2 linked regions of the Yarrowia lipolytica genome follow. The protein of the gene in region 2 purifies or fractionates together with the protein of the main gene of each other region. This does not show direct contact. Links are inferred from orthologs where the notes say so. Each region holds a gene or a part of one and is shown on either strand. Other genes may lie near its edges.

Region 1 (3,065 bases), on a different chromosome or scaffold from region 2:
GGTACACTCTGGGACGGAAATTGTTGAATTTCGCAATGTACGAGTGCTTGAGCCAGTCGACAGCGACTTCGGAGCCCAGCACCACTAGAGCAGGACCCAGCAGAGCCCCTAGCCATCGATTCCAGCCCGACCACGACGATGGAACGAGACCCGTATTGGAGACCTCGACCACGTTCCGGAGTCCGATGGACACCAGTAGCACCCACAACTGGAACCGCTCGGTGATATCTGCACAGGTGAGCTGGAACAGAGACTCGCGTTCAAACCGCTTAAAAACGGTCGACTTGACCTCGTTGAACTGGTTGGACAACAGCAGGGTCAGCAGCGCGTTGGAGTACGAGTTGACGGCCACGTTGAGGGTCACAATCTGGTACAGCAGCACCCCTGAATGCACAGCCGAGTAAGCCATGTACAGACCCATGTATGTCGCGAGTCGCTGGTAGTTGTTGAGGGTGCCTGCGGAAAAGAGCGACTCCAGCACATCCAGACCCCAAGCCGCACACAGTTTGTCTGTGATTTCCAGCACGTTGAACATGACGTAGAGCTTCATGGCGTTCTGGCCTCTGATGTTGTGGTAGAGCTTGGAGGTGTCAATGAGCAGCAGGAAGGTCATTGTCGAAATGACAACCACAGCCTTGATGATGTCGCTCATGTTGGTCATGGTCACGTGGCGGGTCGACCGACGTTTGGCTATGCCCCATAGTACTGAGGCCACCTTGAGAGGCATGATTGTGACCGTGTAGAGGAAGGAGTCGAGGCAAGTGAGAAATCCAAAGGCCATGATCATCTCCAGATTCAGCGGCACCTTGATAAGCGACAGCAGGTGCTCATTTTTCTCCTCGGTGTACGGCTGTTCGCCCTGGAGGTGCACCTGGAGATAGTCCCATAATGAGCGTGGAACCGGCGGGTTTTCGGGCCGTTCAAACCCCTCAAAGTCTGAAAACGACAGCCGCGGACGCGACGGAGACGACAGAGACCGCCGCGGACGTATTCGGTCGCTTTTCGCCGACGTGTTGGTTCGCCTTCGCATTGTGGGGGATTTTGCAGTGAATAGGAGATGACATCAAATTAAAGTTTCCATCTGCCTGACGTCAATAGTGAGAGGGAAATACATGGGTGGATGTGGGCGGTAATTGGTGGGGATTAGAGAGTAAAAAGCTGAATGTGGACGTTATAAGACGTTGAATTAGTCAGCAGCTTCATGTTTGAAACTTTTCTGATCAAAATTACAAATCTACACCGGATTAATACTTTGTGCTAAAAACTTCTCCAGAAACCGCAATATTGGTCGAAATCGAATTCTGAAAGTGGCAATCTGATGTGCTGACCAAGCAAGGTCGTTTTGTGTATTGAGATATCTCCCTAGTTCTCTACATGGTCCTCCAGTTGTCCCCCCGTCTCTTGTCGTATTAACGTACGTCTGGCTGCAATGCGGGTCACTGGTCTCTGTTGCAGACCATTTAAACTCAGCATCTTGACCACCTAGCAAGGCAGACGACAGCAACACGATTGAGAGTGGCGGTAAAAAAAAACCGCAAAAATCGGAAAAAAATCGAGAAAATCACGAAACCGCCGATAATCACATCCACGACGGCAACCAAACGACCGCAATTTTTCAAACGGCTTCAAATACACCCCATTTGACGCGTAATCACACCACCCACAACAACCCCCACACATTCATGTTGCAACTACGCGAGGAAATCGAAAAGCTACGAACTCGGTTTGGAAACACGGGGTCTGAGCCGCCAAACCTGCAGCTTTCTGCACTCATCACGATCGCCGTGATCGAGGCTCTGTCGGCGAAGAAAACCGACATCCAGACCTTCAAGTACGCGTCGCGATACCTCACCCCCGAGGTGTACGACGAGCTGGTTGGCGAACGCACTTACGAACACATCTGCGGGTACCCTCCGTGCGGACTGGTGCCCAAGTCTGCGTCGGGCAAAAACAAGATTCTCGGCACGCTGGCCCAGAACCAAAAGTTTGACGTGCCGTGGGCGTATCTGCGGACCTTTTGCAGCAAGCAGCACTACCAGGCGAGCCAGTTTTATCGTGCACAGCTGTCGTCGGACCCTCTGGACCTGCGAGGCAGCATCTGGGGCGACTATGGCTCGTGCAAACAGTACGAGGGCAGCATCATCCTGCTGGAGGAACTGACGTCGGACGCCCAGCAGGGCAAATCCATGGCTGAGATTGTGGAGGGGTTCACGCAGATGTCGCTCAAGGACCCCGAGCTCGCTAGGATGAACATTCCTGCCAACGGAGACGAGATCACCAAGCTGGGCAAGGAGATCCAGGAGATTTCGCTGAGAGAGCGCGAGGACGACGAGAATGACGTGGAGCCAGACTACGAGTCGTTGGAGGACATGAGTAGTAAGGATAAGGCCAGTGCTATTGAGGGCTATAAGCCGAGAATCCAGTGGAGATAGCGAGACGGATTGAGGAATCTATCATGACAGGTTGAGGCAACGTCGACATCAAGTTGTGGATTCCTGACGATAACATGAGACGGGAATCGCAACAAGATCTGAAACAGTGACAGCTGGGTTTTAGACTGGATTCGGCAACACTGACAGGTGCACCACATGTTCGACTAGAACGCCCAGCTCCACATAGCGGCTTAGACATACGCCACAGCAGGAGACAGTGGAACATTGCCCACCACTGTCACACTCTCCGAGGTGGTATAATTTCTAGTGTCTGAATGGGTGACTCTCTGGAGTTAGGTCTCCTCTCTATCTTGCGCTGTGATCTCCCAGAGTATCATCTTCTGATCTGTCAGGCTTCCAATACCGTCTCCATGAACAGGCGAGTGGTCTCATTGCAAAGTGCAGGAATTCGGCCTCCACGCTCGTCTCCTATTTATATGGCTACTAGCTGATATGGAACAAATGTATATTACGATGAGGTATAAACAAAAAAGCGACGGGTTCAGGAGTGAGTAGATACGGTAAAGGCCGTACAAAGGACTCCGTTTTTGAGCAGCTCTCAAACCCACAGCCGAAGCTCACTATATATCCAACGGCACAGTATCACTAAGTCGAATTGATGACAGCTGAGAA
Region 2 (6,010 bases):
CCGCCAGGGAAGACACGCAGATAAACTACTGTAAAAGGCTGTCCAGTTCTTCTGCTCTCTTCCGCTCAATGACTCCTGAGTCTCGAGTGACAACTACAGTATAACAGAAAAAGTAAATATCTGAATTTGTTTGAGAAGAAGTTGAAGACAAAGATGGGCTGTGTGGTCAGCGTGCTACTGTATGGTCTACTACTGTGTGGTCAGAGACATTGCAAGAGAGAAATTCAAGTCAAACCCCAAGGAAACGAAACGGAATACCACTTTCAATATCAAATGATTGCGTTATCGTCATATCCAGCACTTCTACAACTGGTATCATTTTTTTGTTGACATTTTTCTTTGAGCATCGATCCAGAACTACCTGAATCAGCATCAGTCAGTGTTATCAATGAATCACAGTACAGTACTGTAACCACCTACAATACATGCCCTACTCCAGAAACACTCAGACACCCTCCTGTTCCTCTTATAATCATACATTTATTCCAACCTCTAACTATTACATACAATACACGGAGACCAGGACCTTCCCTGGTTTCCTTACGGTGTGAGACTGAGATTCTGCTCTGCAGTTTCTAGTGGGAGACTCTTGGCTACGCCTCGAATCTCCTCTAAACTCTCACACTATACCCACTCCTATCGCTGAACAATCTCGGAGCAATGTTCATCGCCATCAGCTCCTGGAACAACAGTTTCGCAGCGTACGGAATCTGGACCTGGTAAATCTTGGTCTTGTTTCGGCACGATCGGCATTCAAACTGGTTCTTTTTCAGGTTAGCAATCACGTTCATGGAGCCACAGACACCGCAGACGTGGATTCGGAACGCATCCGACGCCTCCATGAGTCGCTCCTTGAGGAAGGCGGCAGCTCCATGGGCAATCATACAATCTCGCTCCATTTCTCCGAATCGCAGACCACCCTCTCGAGATCGACCCTCGACGGGCTGTCGGGTCAGAATTTGCACAGGACCACGTGCTCGAGCGTGGATCTTGTCATCCACCATATGACGCAGACGCTGGTAGTAAGTGGGACCCAAGAAACACTGAGCCATAATCTTCTTACCAGTGTGGCCGTGGTACATGACCTCAAAACCTCTGGACTGGTAGCCGTGGGACCGCAGCAGTTTGGAGATGGCGTCGACAGTCACATCCGTGAACGGAGTGGCGTCACCCTCCAGACCAGACAGACACGACACCTTGGAAAGCAGACACTCAATCAGATGCGCGACGGTCATACGCGAAGGAATGGCGTGGGGGTTGATGATGATATCGGGGACCACTCCCTCGGCGGAGAACGGCATGTCCTCATGTCGGTACGTCACACCAATGGTACCCTTCTGTCCGTGACGCGACGCAAACTTGTCTCCAATCTGGGGGATCTTGGTGGTTCGCATTCGCACCTTAACGAACCGCAGTCCCTCCTGGTTGGTGGTCAGCAGCACCTGGTCAACAATACCGTTTTCGGTCGATCGCAGAGGCGTGGACGCGTCTCGCTTGGTGTGGTACTTGGTTCGCTGACCAAGCTCCTCTGCGTCCGGAGGAATGGGAGCCGTCTTTCCAATGATAATGTCCTCACCGGAAACACGCACTCCGGGACACACCAGACCATCGTCGTCCAATTTGTCGTAGGTGCCGTGCTTCATTCGAAGAGTATCTGCCCGGGTAGGCTTCTCAAACTCCTCGACCACAGACATACCCACTCGTCGCTCCTGGTCCATGTACGAACGGAAGAAGAGCGATCGGAACAGTCCTCGATCAATAGACGACTGGTTCATGACCACGGAATCTTCCTGGTTGTAACCGGAGTAACACAGAATAGCCACAATGGCGTTCTGACCGGCGGGGAGCTCTCGGAACTTGAGGAACTCCATGGACCGCGTGGTGGCCAACGGCTTCTGAGGGTAGTACAGAATATTGGCCATGGTGTCCATACGCACGTCGTAGTTGGTGAGGAACACGCCCATGGCCTGCTTACCCATGGCTGACTGGTATGTGTTTCGGGGCGACTGGTTATGATCAGGGAAAGGAATAATGGACGCCAGAATACCAAGAATCATCGAGGGATGAATCTCACAATGGGTCCAGGTGTGCGAGTGGGGGTTGTATGCGGGCTTGACTCGTCTGGCGGGGTCAAGCTCGTCCTCAGGCATTTCCACGCCGGCCTGCATCTGTCGCGAGAACTCCAGATCCTCGGGAGTCATGGCAATCATGACCGTCTCTTCCTCTTCACCATCGATGTACTCAATCACACCATTGTCGACGAGCCAGTTCCAGCCCGTGTTTTTGTCGCCCTTGCCCTCGTCGCCCTCAGTCTCGGCCTGTTCGGCCATCTGCTGTTGCAGCTGATAAATGTGGTCCTTCTGCAGAACCAGTTCACCCTTGCGCTCGGCATCGGGGTTGTTTTCGACCACAAAAAGCGGTCGGTAGACACGACCGGCATCCGTGAAAATTCGAATCTCCTTTTCTCGGATATCTCGAATGATCGACACCTCGGACTCGATGTCACCCATTCGCCGCAGAGACTTGATCATGTCGGTGAGCTGGGTGGCGTCTCGATGCACGCCCACCCACACACCGTTGACAAAGACACGCGTAGAGGTGGTGTGCGTATGAGGCACATAGTCCTCCAGAGGCTCCATTCCCCACTCATCCAGGAAGTTGATGATGGGGAAGGAAGGGGTACCGACTGAGATGCACGACATAAGAGACAAGTTCTTGACGAGACCACAAGCCTGTCCCTCGGGAGTCTCAGCGGGACATACCAGACCCCAATGCGTGTTGTGCAGCTGTCGGGGCTTGGCAATCTTTCCGTCTCGGCCAATGGGAGTGTTAGTTCGTCGCAAATGCGACAGTGTCGAGGCAAAGGTGTATCGGTTAAGCACCTGGGAGACACCTGCTCGTGAAGACATTGCCTTCTTCTGGTCACCCCAGTTTCCGGTGGCCAAAGAGTACTTGAGACCGTTGGTGATGGTGTTGGACTTGACAGCCAGAGTCAGGTTGAAGTCCTTGTTGGTCTCGACACACTTCAGCATGTATCTGTAAATGTCCTTTGTGAGCTTCTTGAACAGCATTCGGAAGATACCAGCCATAAGTGGACCTGCGAGATCAAGTCGCTTCTTTCCGAAATGATCTCGATCGTCGGGCTCCTTTCTACCCAGAGCCACAAGCAGCATTCGATGCACCATGTAGCCCAGGAAGTACGCCTTTCGGGTCTCGAAACCCTCCTCCTGGGTGATGTGTGGCAGCAGTTCCTTCTGCAGGATATCTCGGGCGTATCGTACTCGTCGCTCTCGGTTCACACCGACGGCCGAACCTCGTCGACCAATATAGTCCAGAGCAACCTCTCGGTCCTGGATCACAAACGCCTCCTCGATACACGGCTTCAGCATCTCCAGCATCTGCCAATCGTTGTTGTCGTAACAAATGTGCTCGAGAATATCTCCGTCGGGCACAACGCCCAGGGCTCGGAAAACAACGACAATTGGAATGTCGGCCCGCACATAAGGGAGCGCGGCCTTGATGGTCACGGGGCCCTTGTCGCTTCGACCAAACATCTTGATCTGCATCGACGAAATCAGACGCGAGCCCTTCTCGACGGCAGATCGAATCTCGGCCACATGCGAGATGGGCGAGGGTGCAGCCTTCTTAAACACCTGCACGATATTGGCGGCAGACCGCTCCTGGGCAATAAGCACTTTTTCAGAACCGTTGATGACAAAGTAACCTCCCTGATCGTAGGGACATTCGTTCAGCTCGTAGAGATCGTTCTCCCGCAGGCCACGCAGAATGCAAAACTTGGACCGCAGCATGATAGGCACCTTGCCAATGTACACCTTGGACACGGGCTCCTCGACCTCACCGGGGATGGGGTTCCACACAACATCGGCCTCGGGACGGGCAGGGTCGTCAATAGAAAACAGAACCCGCTTCTTCATATCCACGTAGAGGGGAGAAGAGTAGGTCAGGTTTCGAGCACGGGCCTCCTGCGGGTACATGGGGTGGGTGGATCCATCAGCCTCGGTCATGGTGGGCCGAGACAGGTAGATTTTGCCAAACGTGATTTCGAACCGCTTGTTCTGGTTGTCGTTAGGGGTGGTGTGCTGGGCAGGCTGGTCCAGGATCAGAGTCCGGTCCTCCCACACAAGCTCCTGGATGGTGGTTTCGATGAACTCATCGAAGGAGTCGAGCTGCTGGGACACGAGTCCTTTTTCGTTAAAGAACGAGGAAATGACGGTCCAGCAGTCCTCGGCGGTGATTTCCGTATCTTCGTAGTATCCGTACGGGTCTTCGTATTCTGTGTTAGCAGCAAGATAGGTGGATGGGATCTGCGCTGTTCGATGTATCGCCCGAGCCAGCAACTGTTGCACAAGACCGCACAGCTACCTGCTTGTGGTCATTGGATGGGCACCCGGACCAGATGTACTGTGATCATCAAGCCAACGACTGGTGGATCAAGACGCTGTGACCGTATTGACATCTTTAGATGGAGCTACTGAAAACAAAGTGAGCGAGAAACAAATACATCAATGTGTGTGTCATAGCTGTAGCGACACCTGGTCGATGTCGTTGGTGGCAAATGACTTGACGATGATCAATGTTCGACTCCGTCATAACATAGAATGATATGTGATAGGTGGCGAATGGCTCAAATCACCGTAGAAGCATCGTTTAAACGTCTGTCAACGGCGAGAAGCCGACGGTGATTCCCTCCATCGCTTTTGTCTCAATCCCACAACAATAGGTCTCTGTCATCGCTGTTGTGCCACTTCTCACAAACCATCTGATCCAGCACTTATCACTTCGATCACTGGCCCATCGTAGGCCTCCGGGCCACGTGACTCTACCACTCGGTCATATCTCCGACTTTCCGATCTCTCGCGTACTCACCAGACATGTTGTTCACCCCTCCAGTGCTGATTGAAATCCTGTGTCGCCTTGTTCGAGAGAGAGCTTGTGTGCACCCGTCGTGACGGCCGGGTAACCCCGAGGTTGGTTGGAACTAAAATAAAAGTTTTTGGCAGAGTCGAATTTGATAGAGTTTGTCAAGTGTGGAGGCAGTTTTGGAGATAGGAGACTGGAGAGGAGAAGCCTTTTTTTATGTGTAAGAAGAAAGAGTGATATCGGAATGCGAGGTATTTGTTTTCCAATGGTTTCGTATCAATTAATTATATATTTTTTTCGAATTTATACAAATTATTCATATTTTTCAAAGTCTCAAAAAAAATGTTCGGCCACTATTCCCTCCCATACTGTATACAGTAACATTTCAGTTGTCTTTCTGGGAGGTTGCTCACCCTCAAAACAGCTCTGATAAAGTAATTGACCAACTGAATTCTGAGTGAGAGGAATATGGGTGGACGATTGAGAGCTTTTGAGAAATAGTGACTGATATAAAAACGTTCCAGTAGGCTGTGAAAGATATGAATTTTTAATCCCTTTTTCCAAAATTCCAAAAACACATGAAATTGGTGAAATTCAACTGAAACACGGATATATGAATTGTCTGAGAGCATTTTGCCACAGAAAAAGTACAGAAAATAACTAATGTTTGGTACTGTACCAAAATTATCGTCTCGATCTTCCCAACATTATGTATTAATCGCATCCAAGGTCCGCTTTCGTAGCCCCCATTAGTGCTGTGAGCTATCATTTGTTTCCACTTACATAAACGTACCACCTAAACCCCATCTCACTACTGTATTGATACCATCGGTACAAAGCAGTACAGTATGTACTATATTGTACTTGTTGCTAGCATGTGTTAGCATCTCTTCATGCTACCATCTTTTCGTGCTACCATCTTTTCGTGCTATCATATCTTCTGCTTTACTCCCCCAGCTCTCTACTGTATGTACTATAGCTACAGTATGTACAGTACATACTCACCCATATACCACCTTAATTGTTTCGATTTCAGCTCACACTTCACCATTGCTACACTTGCTGCTATGTCGTTCTTCATGGAAAATCTCGATGAGGACTCGGAGTATGGCACGATCGACACATTTGA

The links.
Region 1: the proteins of YALI1_D04680g (region 2) and YALI1_B00280g purify together in Saccharomyces cerevisiae (affinity purification with mass spectrometry; 5 studies listed by BioGRID, with this or other methods). This does not show direct contact. The link is inferred for Yarrowia lipolytica from reciprocal best matches to the Saccharomyces cerevisiae genes RPB2 and RTR1.

Annotation. Positions count from the first base shown.
Region 1 is NC_090771.1:26,346-29,410, forward strand, and holds YALI1_B00280g (uncharacterized protein), read left to right. Parts: upstream 1-1,682; coding exon 1,683-2,432; downstream 2,433-3,065. Other genes in the region: YALI1_B00273g (uncharacterized protein), read right to left, coding at 1-1,030. UniProt on the Saccharomyces cerevisiae protein: RNA polymerase II subunit B1 C-terminal domain (CTD) phosphatase that dephosphorylates 'Ser-5' of the CTD and regulates RNA polymerase II during the transition from 'Ser-5' to 'Ser-2' phosphorylation.
Region 2 is NC_090773.1:466,037-472,046, reverse strand, and holds YALI1_D04680g (DNA-directed RNA polymerase II subunit RPB2), read right to left. Parts: upstream 4,026-6,010; coding exon 612-4,025; downstream 1-611. Other genes in the region: YALI1_D04653g (uncharacterized protein), read left to right, coding at 5,868-6,010.